Linked DNA regions of Struthio camelus. Each later gene encodes a partner of the first gene's protein in a complex. Links are inferred from orthologs where the notes say so. Each region holds a gene or a part of one and is shown in the gene's direction. Other genes may lie near its edges.

Region 1 (7,121 bases):
AAGCTGCTCATTATGAATTCTTGACAACCCAAGTTCTTTAAAAAAAAGATTAAAAAGGAGAGTTAAATGATACAATTTAAATGGAAAACAGAAGGTTTAACAGGTAATATTTTCAAAACAGGCAGTAGCTCTGTACGCAAATGACAAAGTTACACGGAAATCTAAACTTTGCTGGAGAATGTAATCTAACTGTTTCCTGGAATGATTGCAGCACAAGGATACATCACTTCCTTAAATTTAAATGTTCTCAGCTTCGGAAAAACGTAGTTTTTAGATCAAGAGGTTGCCACCTGGTGATAACTAGACGGAATTACAACATATTTTTGTAAAAGAAAAAACACTTCCCATTTCAGTGTTATTTACAATGCCTTAGGCTTGCTGAATACTCATTGCAATCTTAAATGCTAAAACATCGCAAGTGCTTGCAAGCAACAAGCTTAAAAGTACTTTCATTTAATGTTAAAAAAGTGCTACCCTTTTTGCATATATTTCTCTAAAGGCTGAAAAAAAGGCTGAAATACATATCAAGAAGAAAATGAAATATGCAAGTCCGCATTCATAAAAAGCCAGATTTTCACGTTATCTTGCATCGCAGATAGGGGTAACAGTGGTCAGCTCTTCTATTTTTCCCCTGGATACTGGCAGCAAAATTTTGGCGTGATGACAAGTTTTAAACTATTCTTAGCGAACAAAAGTGTCTTGCAAACAGGAATAAATCATAATGAGAACCAAAAGGATTAAGGTATGCTTCCTGTGCATTGAAGAAATCTCTTCAACTTCCACTTATGTTTATTTTCCCTCCAGCTTCTCCTCTCCAAGTACTTTGTTAGATCATCAAATGGGATAAATTAATCCAGCCGTCACTGTAAATCTTCTGTTGTATACACCGCTGGGAAAAACAACCAAACTACTTTTTTTCCACCCCTTTTTAAAAAACTTCTCTTTTCAACCGGAGCGTAATTTGTCTATGGATTCACATTTCTGAGAAATGTGCTGATTCCTTTTATTGTATTAAATAGTCCTCATGCCTCAGTGAATACATATATCTTTATTAATTATGTCTTTATTTATATAGTGTTATGCTAACCTGGGTGCACCAGTACTCAGCTGATGGATTTTGCTGTAGGCAGAATCTTGCTAATTGTTGAGTAAATTGCTGATGATGGATTTCTCCTATAAATGTGATATAACAAGTTGATTTGTTATCTGCAGCATCTTTTTAGGAGTGCCAGAGTTATCCTGCAACAGATGTGCCATGTTGTGTTTGATATGCTTGAGACACAGCAAATGCTGTACTTCATTTCAGTTACTTTTGTGATGCATTTTCTCCATATTTCCTTTTTGACATCTGTGAAACATGATGGCCATGTTGATCAGGGACAAGGATATTAACCAAATGGTTTCAAGTTCACTGCTTCAGGTTTGGGCTTAGAGGCTTTCAATCATCCATGGAACTCAATGAATGATTTTTGTTATTAACTTCGCTGCAGTCAAGTCTTGCCCAGTCATTTCACGACTAAGAAAAACCAGAGGCATCACTCATGTGATGCTCTGTACAGAATAAGACAGAAATTTTCACTGATTTTTGCATCAAGACTGAAACGTCTAAGTAAAGTATACAGTGCATTAGAATGACATAAAAATGAATAGAGTTTTGGAACGGCTTTTCTGCAAGGACACACCAAGTTCGGACTCGCCAACTCTGGAAAGATGTGGATGCTGCTCAGTGGTATTCTGCAAGAAGACATGACATGTCATGCCATTCCAGAGGGAATGGAAATATATCCAACGGTTGCTGGGATCCCCATCTCAAGCTCTATTGACTTTCCTTTCCTCAATGGCCACTTTGAGAAACACAGCATTAGGCTACGTGGGTCTCTGATCTGACTCAGTACAGCCATCTTTAATGCACGTTCTTACGCAAATTTGATTAAAATATTTTGTGTGATGGCTAATCTAACACATTGCCAGGGAAATTGTTCCAACAGTTGGATAGCCTTATGGTTTAAGCATCAAGTCTGAACTTGTCTACCTTTAGCTTCCCATCACTGGATCTCATGATGTCCTTTTCTGTTATGTTACTCAAAACAGAAATAGTCTCTCCATGTAAATCCTTATAGACCATGATCAAGTCGCCTCTTAAACTTGTCCATGAAAAATTCAATTTTTTAATCTCATTATTAGGCACTTACTTTAGTAGTACTGTACTTCAGTGCCATGATTGGCTGTCCAGCTTGCCTCCCAAGCTTTGGCACTTCATGCTGGATGTAGATCACTGCCCCTAGCTGTCTGTCCACCTCTCCTACAAGAGGTTACTGCCCATGAAGCAGAGTCAGCAAGGCCAGCAGCATATCTGCGCTGGAGATACTCCGATTCACAAACTGCATATTAACTCAAAATCAAATTTAGCATATGTTTATATTCTGAACCCTTGGAGGATGAGGATCGGACATGTTCTCTCTTGTTATTTCTACCAGATGAGAGCGGCAACTTCCAGCAGAAGAAGGGAGTAACAGCTGGGAGCATTAATCTCCCGTATTACTCAGGCATGGCCTGCTGGCAGACTGACCCCAGTTCTGTAGGATTTCAAGCTTTACGGTTGGAAATATGACCTTAAATTTGCCTGCATTAACAAGCTCTTCTGTAAGCAACAGACTTAACCAAACACTGTTTCTTGAGGGCTTGCATCTCTGTCATAAATCTCAATCGTAAATCCTACTTAGAGCACTAACCCTCCCTCTCCCACTTGTCTGCTGCTATACTCACTGTGCAAGAAATGGTGGGTACTGGGGGTAGTGCAGAGCCAGAATTGTCTTTACTGGTCAAGCAGTAACTGGTCAAGCAGTAAATGCAACCATGTACTGGCTGGCCGGCTGTATCATACCTGTGTTTTGCCTTCCTTTCCCTCTCTCATACATAGCTGCTGATTTTCCCCAAAGTTGCACAAATCTAAATTCCTTTAAGATTTGTAAACCTTTGTCAAATATGATTAAGTAGGCCAACAGGTTCAGAAGTTTCTGGGAGGAAGAAAGGGTGGATGGAAAAGGAAGCACCCAACACTGCAATTGCTCAAGCCTCATTTCCGTCAGTAGAAAGATTGCTCAGTACTAGACGATCTAGATAACTTTGATCATGTGATGTGTTCTTCTTAAATTATCTACTAATTTTACTAGCAATAATTTCATATTTTATTCCAAAGCATTACTATGTTGAGGAACACTTACTAAAAATAAGTACTGCAGGCCTTTGCTCAAAATATTTCCATCTGTTTATAACTAATTTTTTCACATTTGTTAACTCACCAGCTTTTAATCTGTTTAAGATATACAACTTGGATTTTGTCTAGTTTTCAGTCAGGAACTTCTGCATTTACTGTATCTTTGGCAATTTGGGGGCGGGGTGATTTATAACACGTGGACATGTGGGTGGACAGCGTTACAGCTTCATTTTGCTAACCTAACCTGTAATCTCAAGGCCGCTAAGGATTCCTGGATCTTTCGAGGCGTTTTAGGGGGGGACGAACCCCGAAGGGCAGCGCCCCTGCCCCTTCCCCCCTCGGACGTTAAACACAGGCAGCGCTTGGCGGGTACGGCAGCCCGGGCCCCCCGGCCGGGGCACTCTGCTCAGCACCGCGCGGGGTTTTGGGGGGCCGGGCCCTCGGGCCCCCCGGCCACACGCAGCCGCGGCGGCGGCGGAGCCGGGCCGCTTGCGCCACGGCAGGGGACAGGCCCGGGCCCGTCGGCCTGCAGCCTCCGGGCGCCGCCCCGACGCGCTCCCTCGCTCCTGCCTGCCGGGGGCCTCTGGCATCCAGCCTGCTGCCGCCCACGCTCGGCGGGAAGGAGCTGGGCGCGGCAGGAGGCCGATGGCGGAGGCGCGTTGTTGCTGACACAGCGCCGCGGCCCCGGCGGGAGGCGGGCGAGGGCAGCGGCCTCCCAGGGCGCCGCAGGGCTCGCCGAGCCTGGCATGCGCATGCGCGCGGCGGGGCGCCGGGCGGCGCCGCCTGAGCCGCGGCGGCGCTCGCGGGGCGGCCCCTGTCACGTGGCGCCCGGGCCGGCGGGGCGCCCTCCGCGCCGTGCCGCGCATGCGCAGCGCGCATGTTGCCGCCGCCAGTGCCGGCCGCGGCGAGGCTCTATGGGGAGAACATGGCTCCCTTCCCCGAGGAGGTGGACGTCTTCTCGGCGCCCCACTGGCGGATGAAGCAGCTCGTGGGGCTCTACTGCGACAAGGTAGCGGGCCGCGCCGCGGCCGCCCCTGCCCCGCTCCGCTCGCTCCGCCGGAGGGGCGAGGGAGGATTTCGCGTAGTGCGCAGCTGTCAGCGCGCCCCGCGCCGGCCCCGGCCCCGGCTCCCCCCGCCGCTGCCGCGGGGCGCCCCGGCCGCCGGAGCCGCCTTCCCCGCGCCCCGCTCTGCCCGGTCCCGGCCCCGGCCGCGTTTGGTGGCCTTGCCCGTGAGGCAGCAGCGCTCCCTCCGCCGCGGGACCGCGCCTGCCGCGCTCCTTCCCCCGCCGGGCTGGGAGCGGGGCCGGCGCCCACCCCGGCTGCCCCTTCCTGGAGGTGGGGCCGCGGCCTGCGCAGCCCCGGGCGGGGCGGACCCCCGAGGCGGCCGGGGGTGCCGGGGTGGAGCGGGGGGCAGGGGGTAAACAAACCTCTGGTGGTGTTTTGGTGTGTTTTGGTGCTTTTTTTTTTTTTTTTCCTGTAAATTGCCCGGTGCCCGGCAGCACCGCCGGACACCGGTCGTGGGCAGTGCGCTCGTTAACGGTCTGTGAGGAGCAACGTTTGTTTGCGTTTTAAAGTACAGCGTTTAATTGGTGAGCACCTGAAGGGTACGCTAAGGAAGTTTTGGTTTTTAAATAATGTTGCAAAAATAACTTCCGTTCTTGCATCAGGGCAGTGAGTAATCCGAGCTGGTGTGTCACCTGAAAGGCAAACTTCACTGCAGCACGTTCAAGCAGAACTGAAGGGTTTCAGGGAAACACTTGAAAGCCAGCACGCAAACTGAAAGTAGTGCCTCCCCCCTCTGTGGGCATAAACGGCTGTGGGGGAACCGGAGTCGTTTTAGCAAGCGTCAAAAAGGAGTGTGAAGTTGCATGAGAGACAGCGTAACAGCTGCCAACAGGCTGGGGGAGTCCCCCCTTCCCCTATTTCCCCAATGTCTGGTGCTCACCGGACCCCTTTTTGTGAGCCTGTTTGAATTGGGCAGAGAAAATCAGGGGAAGAAAAAGATGAGAGTGTTACCATTTAGCAATGTCTGACCAGATCTAGCTGTCTTCTGTAATTTCACTGTAAGTCGTTTTTGCAAGTGTGTTTGCAGTTAAGTTAATTTTGCAATCTGTGGCTGCATGAAAACTTGTGAAGCCTTAAGAGAGGGGATATTGCAGAAAGGGAAAGAAACACCTGAAAAAGGCTGCGACTTTTTTTTCCCACTAGCAGCCCTGCTAGCATTGTTAACAGTAGTTGAGCAAGTTTTCAACCTCCAGATCTTCTAGTCATTTACTACTGTTTTTGGTTTTTTGTTCCCGAGATGCATTTCTGTCACTCTTATTGAACCTCCCACAAAGTTTTGACCGAATTTATTAGATTGGCAAAATTTGATTAAAACCATCCAGTCTGCTATGAGCATACGCTCTCTTTTTTTTTTTTTTTCAATTGTAGACAAGAGCGTGCTAACTTTCTTTTCTTCTTTTAAACAAGCATAACCACAAATGAATCCTTGATGGGTTTTTTATGTAAGCAGGGAGGATTTATAGTACTTAATCCTACATTCTCTGGTCCTGTTACAGAGTTTGGAGTCTGTGCCTGGCTCGTGACCTTTGTATTTCAGTCACGATAGCTTTATATCAGAAAAATTTCTCTGAACTTTCCTTCTTGTGTGATTAAGATGTTGTAGTTAGCTCAGACTGTATTTCTGCTTACATGGCAATTATAATCCGCGAAGCTATGCTCTTTATCAATTTAGTGAATCCTTGAGGAGTCTTTAATTTCAACTACATGTGTACCTGCTGCTGCTAATGTTCCCTGTACGTTGTAATATAGTTGCCATCTGTTAGTGCCTCCTCTTACTAAATTCCACCAATTGTTAGTAGGGGTGAAACTGGTGCATCTATGCTTTTCAGGGAATCGGTTATAAGGTTAGGATGAGTAAAAGGCAGAGGTACTCCAGTGATGCTTTAGGACTGAGATAAAGTTTAGATTGTTCTTCTAAGACCTCATATGAGACAGAAGAGTAAATCGGAAGTGTAAGATGTTTGACTGCTAGCAACAATTTAAAAGTTCAGTAACTGTCTTGATGCAAAGATCTTACCATACGTTTTCTGTGTACTTGAATGGCATTTTAGGACCGTTGTATGCAGTGCCTTTACTTACATAATAGGAATAACTATTCCTATAGACGGTCTTTGGAGTAAAATTTTTTTTCCTAATGTCTAACATCATCCATACTATTTATTAATAGAGCTGATTTCTTTTTCCTATCTCCAGTGAATGGCTGTTTGTTTTCAGGAGAGTCTTCTGCTTATTTGCAAATTGTAGCCCTGTCCTCCATCTTGATCTGCTTTTTGGACTAAGTGAACAGATTCATTCAACTTTACCACATGGGTGATGCGTTCTGTGCCTCTTGGTGTTCTTGTTGCTTTTGTCAGGACTGCTAAACTGCAGTTTTGTGACAATCTAAGCCATCTAACTGCTGCTGTCATGATTATTGGCCCTTCCTTCCTCCCATCAGCATGTTAAGTGACTCACAAAGGCTGTAATTGGCAGAGAACTTTTTTTACTTTTTTTTTTTTTTTTAGGTGGTAGTTTTTCTGCTCACCAGCAAGCACTAGTCAGATGAGTACTGAAGCCAATGGGAGCTGGAGGGTGGGACTGTGACAGCCCGGCAACTAGGTTGGCTTCAGCTGCTGTGAAACCTCAGCCTAATTTTGTCTAGATTTTCTTGAAATCCGTTGTGCAAAACATGACACTGTTGATGTTGAATAGAGCTTCTTTTTTTTCCCCCCCTGTTTATTTATTTATTTTTAACAGCACCGTATTCACTTTATGCCTCACTGTAACCCTATGCTTATCTGTGAATTGTTTCTGGCAGCACTCAAAATTTTCCTTTCATATTTGTGCCTTTGACGCCTTCT
Region 2 (7,272 bases), on another chromosome or scaffold:
AGAGGAAGTGATCTGGCTTTCCAGGACCCGTGTGAGCAGAGGGCAGGTAAGCTCTACCTTCCTGAGAGGGAAAACGCTTGTTCCCAGAGGTTTAGGGCTGGCAGTTCAGCCAACAATGTCTGGGCTTGTAAAACCCCCGACGTAAGAAAGCTGAACTGTGCCTCCCTCTGCAGTTTTCAGCAGTGCATAGGAAAGAAGGCAACAGATGCCATCCATTTAAAACAAGCATGTCAGTAACAACCACAGCCTGAACCAAAACAGATGTCACTGCCATGGCTGTTAAGGCTGATATTTCACAGGCTGCCATGAGCGCTGCAGAGTGTAGCTTGAGGTTCCCCAGTTGCTCGTTGTACTTCCTGAAGCGAAGACCTCGTGCTCGCAAGTCAGACTCCAATTACTCTGCCAGCAGCACAAAATGGTCCTTCTTTCTCCTGACATCTCTGGGGAAAAACTCTGCATGCGCTTAGACTCTGCTAACTAGGAAAGGCAATTTTCAGACTCCTTAACAACAGAGCAGTACCAACAGTCCTGTAACCTGAAAATAGATGCCTGTTTTCAGAATATTAAAAGTTCACCATCTATTTTTTTTTTATACAATGTATTTGGAAGTAAGCATGTTTACTGTACTGAATTTTGCCTTCCTCTGGTACTAATAAGCTCTTCCCAGCAAGACTGTTCTCCCACGCGCAGTTTGGGCAGGATTCCATATGCCGGCACTTCCCTCACAATTAAAAATCATCTTAAAACACCTCAGAGCCTCTTTCCTTTGTCTGAAGGAAAACTAAAATGCACTGAGCCCAGAATGAAGGTTTGAAAAGTAGTTTCTGCGATACTTGAACCTCCCCATGTACCCAGTCTGAACTTTAGAACAGTTCAAGTGCTATCTCCAGATATTTATAAGACAGCATTATCTGATTTACTGAGAGTCTGCTGAGTGCTTGGGAAGGACTTCTAGAGGGGTTTCAGGCCGTGTACGTCTGTGTAAATGGCAGCTCTTGGAAGAGATTAAAACAAAAGTTTTGATTTCCTGAGGGAAAAATTATCAAGGCAATTTATTACTCGATTCACTGATAGCAACTCAAACATCAGTCTGAGAGGATGAGAAATGTAAGGAATGTTATTTCTCAGTGAAGCCTTAGCATGGGTGAGGAACTGCCTTTCAGTATCTTTTGTGGCGCTGGCTCACGCAGCACGGACTAGCTGCCATACAGTTCGTGTTAGCAGCCCGAGAGAGCCAGATGCGCTTCCTTCCCCGGTTTTTTCCCTCTGGCATTTATTAATCTACTTATCTTGATACTAGGTATTTTGTGCAGTGATTACAAACAATATGCAGTCAAAAGTGAGGCTTAAAGACTACATGGTGCACTGAGGCTATTTTACAAAAATCAACAAGAAATCACATGAATTAGATGTGTACAAGCTAAGCTTGCACTGTGTCTCAAACCATGCAGGATCAAAACAAAATATTCAGTCATATTCTTACTGAAATACCCAACCTGCCTATGTATCAGGAACTTATGTTCTTAATTAATTTACAGCGCACCTAATACCAGTGGCTTTTCTGCAGTGGCACAAGGAATGGAGAAATGTGACTGCTTGTTTTTTTTTCTTACAGATTGTCCAACATAAATTTTACAAACTCTTTTTTTCATTTTGTTGCTGAGAATACGCCGATGTCAAATCTGCTTTGTGTTCTTTTTAATCGGCTGCCTCAAGCTACGCCATTGACATAGTCCGTGAACAGGTATTACTTATCCTACCCATCTCTGTAGATTCACTTGTGCCTCTTAGACTATTGCTATATTGGACTGACCTTAATTTCTTAAATATTCTACAGCCATTTCCCAAGTCTTTGTTCTTAATCTCCGAAATTCACTCATGTGGACAAAAACTTCAGTTGCTTTGTTATTTTTTAAATCTACTACAGCTAAGTACAAAAATTAAGCTTTACTCTCCTCCTTGAATGATCTCTCACTGCCCTAGACAGGAGAACTGTGTCGAATTTGCTGGATTGGAGCCCTACACACACCAGTCACACAGAAGTCTGTGGGTAGCCAAGATTAAGAGACATTTTACTTCAAACTGTTATGCCAACCTGCTTCTCCTGTAGAGGAATGTATGGAAATGGTGTGGGGGCTCCCCATGTGCTCCCGCTGTTGTCTTTCATCTAGCCTTATAGAAAAGAGGGGAAGACAAAAGAAAGGGACAACTAGAAAAGCAGTCTTGCATTAGATTGGGTACTCTCTTTTAGATCGTACTGTTCTGGAAGACAGAGCTGAGGGCATTCTTTAGTCCCGTCTTTTCCCATAACAAGACGGCTTTCTGTGTTTGAAGGCTGAAGCATGGTGAACAATACAGAAATTCTCTCTGCGTAGCGACTGCCTTTTACAGAGCGAGTGCAAATTACTTCCCTCTGTTGGCATTCTCTTCCTCGCTAAGACATTCGCGTTTAGCCTGCTTCTGTCAGCTCCAATTACAAAGCAGCCATATCTATCCCTGTTTTTCCTCTGGGTAAGCCCACTGCTTCAATTTGACTTCTTTCAGGACATTGGACCCCAGCTGGGAAACCGAGAAGGCATTCAGCAAACAGCAAAAACATGTTTCTTAGATGGTGACACAACACCTTAAAGGAGTCTGTGATTTTAACGTTCCTTTCAGATTCAAAAAGAATCGCAAAACAAATAGTAAGCAGAACAGTGGGATAACCAGCTGCTACTAAGCAAATCAAAACAAAATTTCCAATATAAATCAGTTTCAAAAAGCCAAACGCTAAGTGGCCAAACATTCTATTAAAAACAAAGATATATATCGGATTTGCTTTACAAAAATTGTCTTATATGTAGGAAGGGCACAGAAAAAATGAACATTTGGCGATAAAGGATTTAGCATGTGTACAAGAAACATTCCATACTCCCTAAAATCCCTTTCCTTGGGTGTACCTGATCCACCAAAGTTAGCCTTCGGCCAACAGCGGAAGATAACCAGAAGTCATTTTGCCACCGGTATCCTGTAGGTTCAGCCCTGCAAGACTCGAGGTTTCTTTCAAAAAAGAAAACAAGTGGGTCAGTGGCGGTGCAGACGTCCCTGGAGATGCACCTTATCTGATTTTGTGGAGGGACAATGCTGCCATCGCTTGTCTGCCAGCCCTTCATCTACTCACGGCTGCACCTCCAGGCCCGGACAGCAGAAGCTGCTGCAGGAAGCCCCTGGGGGCCAGCGCATGTCCCCACGGCCGCCGGAGCAGCACGCAGCGAGCCGCCCTCTGCGCTCGGCCCCGGCCCTCGCTGCTGCTTAGAGCATTGTGGTGAGCAGCCATCCAGCGAGGGCAGAAGCCATAAACGACACCGTTCAAGGGAGCGGACAGCGTTTGGCATCCTGAGCGTGCTTTATGCCCCCGACCTGCTCGAGGGACAGGGGTCGGGGGCAGGCCGCGGGCGGGTTGCCCACCGCTGGCCGCGCGCCCCTGCGCTCCCTCAGAGGTGCGCCCGGCAGCGTTGCCGCCTGGACGCTGAGCAGCCAAAGGGCGAGAGGATGCTGCAATTCTGGGTGCTCAGCAGTTTTGAATAAAACTTCTGCAATCAGCGTGTCATTGAGCCACAGCTCAGGGAAGCGAGGGCCAGCGCAGGTCCAAGGGGAAGTGGGGGCAGCCAGGGGCCAGCGGGTCACGGCCACCTTTTCGGTGGCTTTTTCCTTTTCCAGCCTTTCCCTTTTCCACCTTTTTCCAGCTTCTAGCTGGGAAAAGAAACCACAGTTTGAAAGGAAGAAAAGAGAATAAAACGTGAAAAGGAAAGAGAAACCTCCCGAAGCAAATCCAACATCAGATCAGCGGCGGCGGGGGGGCCTGAGGCGACAGCGCGCGCGGTAACGACGGTAACGGCCGCCCCGCGCGCCGCAACGCCGCTAACGGCCGCCCCCCCGCCCTGCCCCGCCCCCAGTCCGGCCCCACGGTCCTAGCACCACCCCTCGCCCCGCCCCTCCCCATCACGTGGGGCGCACGCACCCCCCCCCCCCCCGCGGCCCCGGCCAATAGGCGGCGCCGATCGCGCTGAGGCCCAAGGGCTCGAGCCCCCGGGTCTCGCGAGAGCGCGGCTCCGCCCACCTGCTCCCGCGCTCCTCCCCGCGCCGGGTCTCGCGAGAGCGCACGCGCCTTCCCATCTGCGTCTCGCGCGAGCTGCGGCGCCTGGCGGGGCGGGGCGGGGAGGGGCAGGGCGCGGGTCTCGCGAGAGCTGGCGGCGGCCCCGCCCGCGCCCCCCGCTCCCCTGCCCAGCGGAGCTAATATGGTTGCCGGCGATGGACCCTGCCAGGCCAGGTCAGTGGCGGCGCCGCCGCCTCCCGCCGCGGCGCTCGCGCTCCGGGGCCGCCGCCCGGCCTAGCGGGGCCCGGCGGCGTTCGGCCTGGCCTCCGCCCCTCGGCGGGGCCGGCGGCGGGCAGCGGGCTCGGCCCGAGCGCGGCGGCGGCGGCGACTCCCCCCCCCCCCCAACCACCCCGGGCCGCCCGCGGCGGGGGGGAGGGCGGAGCGGGGCGACCTCGGCCTCGGCCCCGGCCCGTTACCGCCCCCGCCGGCCCCGCTTCGTTCCGCCGCGCCGGGGCCGCCCGTTATGGCCGGCGGCCCTCGCCGCGGCGGACAAAGGGGCGGCGCGGGCCCGGCGGCGGCGGCGACCGGCGGCGGCCGCCTCGTGCGCCTGTACTGAGGTGACAGCGGCCTTCCTGTAAGCGCCTTCGGCTGCTGGAGACAGTCGTCACCCTGGCCTCCTCTTGCGAGGCTTGTTCTTGTTTCTTGCTTGCCTGTCGCTGCCCCGGCCCTTAATGCTTCATTTTTGTACTGTCTTATGGCCTGTGTTCCTCATCTGAGCCGGTAAGGTACCGTTTATCCTCTTTCGTAGGTGTCGCAGTGAGACAGTAAAGGTCACATTTGTATTTAGGCTTCTAAATGTGCAAGTAGGTGTGTCTACTGCTGTGCTCTTGGAGTTCACTGGAGTTGCACAGCTGTATGGTCAGGTGCCTTAATCCATTTAGAAGCCTTTCTATATTTGATTTACTTGTAGTCCTAGGAGAAAACTATTTTTGGTAAAATCAGAAATTAAAATCTGGTCTTATGAGTCCCTTATCGGTGCTTGAACCTTCTGTTCTGTTGTATCAATAACTTATTTATTTTTTTTCCCCTAGGAATCCCTTACCAGCCCATAATTGAAGCATTAGAAAACTATCCACAGAAGAAGTTCTACAATGTCTCAAAGCTTGGAGGCACCAAATATGGTAACAAAAGTTCTTAACAGTTGGTAATCAGCATAGTACCGTTAGCAAACGTATGCTACTTACTGTACAATATTAGGGGGCACATGAGTACCTGGATTTTTAATAGGTGTATCTGAAAGTATATAACTTTCCATCTGTTATTGCTGTATGAAGTTGAATAATATCAACTTCAGTTTGGGGGGTGGAGGAGGAAAAGAATATTGCTTGTAACTTTTTTCAGTTAGGGGGAGATTGACAGGTGTTACTGGAGTCTTAGGCAGTGCTTCAAATCAGAGTAATCTCTTTTGGAAACAATGAACTGACAGAAAACTGCTGAATGGTACTTTAAATATAAATATAGTTTTTAATATAGCTTTATGCTACTTCTTTGTATCCAAGTTTTACCTTCTTAGTAACTTCAGATAGCAGATAACTGTGTGCTGGAGCATAGCTTCTATTGCAGCTGTTGCAGAAGGATGAGCTTTTGTGTTGCACAGAAGAGTGCTTAATCTCAGTGTAGCATTAATATGCCACTAAGTGATATGTGCCAAAAAGATTCTGATTGGGCCTCTGTGTCTGGATGCCTTTTAAAAAATGAATGTAAATATGTACTGAGGCAGGGGAAGGCATGTGGATGGAGAATAGCTATAGATCAGTGTCACTTAGAATATGCTTTCCTCTTGTAGATAACTAAAGCATACTTTTGTTATTCTCTCCCTTTGTTTTCATATTAAACTCCTAAAATACCTCCCTAAGGTGCATATTAAAGGTATTTGGGAATTTTTTTCAGTTATCCTGTTTTGTCAGGTCTGTATTACTCTCCTGTGTTCACAGGTTCATGATGCATTTATTAACCAAAAAAGTTACTGATGGGTGTTTGCTGTAAACCAGTATTCGACAGCAGTAGTTACTTCCCTGTTGAAGGGAAGAGAGAGGGGAGCCCTTTCTAGTGGAGCAATGGCTGCTGCAGATTTTGTGCAACAGCTGTGCGTTCTTGCAGATTTCTGCTTCTTGTTAATAACTTGAATGAGAACATAAGCTGGAGGTAAAACTCTTCTGTTTGTGGCTTTGTACAGGAAGAAGCAGCAGAGTGGCAGTAACAAAACCAGTCAGTTCTGCTGCGGCTTTTGGAGATCTTGTGAATGGTAGTAGAAGTTGAAACAGAATACGTTGTTTTCTGTCTAGATGTGCTGTAAAGCTTCGGGCAGCAGCAGCAATTGTTAAAGATCTTCAAAGCAGGAATATGAAAATAGAATAGACTAGGTGTCTCTTCCGACAGGAACTTCTGTACAGAAGTTGGTAGCCTCATTGTTCACATAGTAGCAAGATACTAGTATGAAATAAAATTGGAGCATAGTATTGGATAACGTTGGTAAGAAATCCAGCATCTGGAATTGCTCAGAGCATGTGTTGCTAGAGCATTAACTTGAGGTCTTGCCTGTTTGCCTGCTGTCTTGGGGCTTCTGACTGTACTCTGACAATAAGTGCCTGTTTAAGATAGTCAGATTTCTAATATAAATGTCAATTGACTTATTTACCAATTTGCTAGGGCGAGTCTGGTTTTTCTAGTGTTTACAGTCATTTTCAGTGATGAGGAAAATGGTAGCTAGAAGGACCTCAGAACCTCAGGGTGATTTAGGGTGGTGGAAGGGACATCCAGAGGTCCGGTCCAGGCTGCCCTCAAGGCTAGTGAGGCCTTTCCCCTTCGAGCTCTGCAAAGCTCCAAGGAGGGAGATTCCACAGGGCCTCTGGCCCCTGCTGCAGTGCGTAAGCATCTGCGTGGTGAGCAGTCTTTCTTGTGCCTACTGCGATGTCCCTTGCAACTGGCAGCTCTTTTCTGTCCTTTCTCTGTGCACTTCTGAAAACAGTCTGGCTCCACCTTCTCTGCAGATTTGTTAGCCTGAGGAAGGCTAGAGTTCATCCCCCCACTCAGCTTTGGATCAGCACACCCAGTTCCCTCAACCGTACCTGTATGTCAGGTGCTGCAGCCCCCAAACCATCTCTGGAGAGCGTCCACTGAAGGGCTCCCTATCTCTT

The links. The genes of interacting proteins can lie anywhere in the genome.
Region 2: the proteins of FBXL5 (region 1) and IREB2 are in contact, whole or in part, in a cryo-EM structure (PDB 6VCD), measured with the Homo sapiens proteins. The link is inferred for Struthio camelus from reciprocal best matches to the Homo sapiens genes FBXL5 and IREB2. Residues at the interface, in NP_036293.1 of Homo sapiens: Asp656, Glu657, Tyr661, Cys662, Asp663, Asn664, Ile665, His669, Ala670, Asp671, Thr672, Ala673, Ser674, Gly675, Cys676, Gln677, Asn678, Leu679, Gln680, Cys687, Arg688, Ser689, Gly690, Glu691; in NP_004127.2 of Homo sapiens: Asp89, Phe90, Ser129, Asn217, Val220, Glu221, Arg224, Arg228, Ala758, Gly759, Ser760, Arg763, Asn764, Thr777, Pro778, Arg779, Asn782, Ser783, Tyr784, Gly785, Ala786, Arg788.

What each region holds. Positions count from the first base shown.
Region 1 is NC_090945.1:70,559,948-70,567,068, forward strand, and holds the start of FBXL5 (F-box/LRR-repeat protein 5), read left to right. Parts: upstream 1-4,021; 5' UTR 4,022-4,094; coding exon 4,095-4,226; intron 4,227-7,121. Other genes in the region: ADP-ribosyl cyclase/cyclic ADP-ribose hydrolase 2, read right to left, coding at 1-11.
Region 2 is NC_090953.1:21,675,915-21,683,186, forward strand, and holds the start of IREB2 (iron-responsive element-binding protein 2), read left to right. Parts: upstream 1-4,195; 5' UTR 4,196-4,290; coding exon 4,291-4,309; intron 4,310-4,694; exon of another isoform or gene 4,695-4,855; intron 4,856-5,166; coding exon 5,167-5,256; intron 5,257-7,272. UniProt on the Homo sapiens protein: RNA-binding protein that binds to iron-responsive elements (IRES), which are stem-loop structures found in the 5'-UTR of ferritin, and delta aminolevulinic acid synthase mRNAs, and in the 3'-UTR of transferrin receptor mRNA.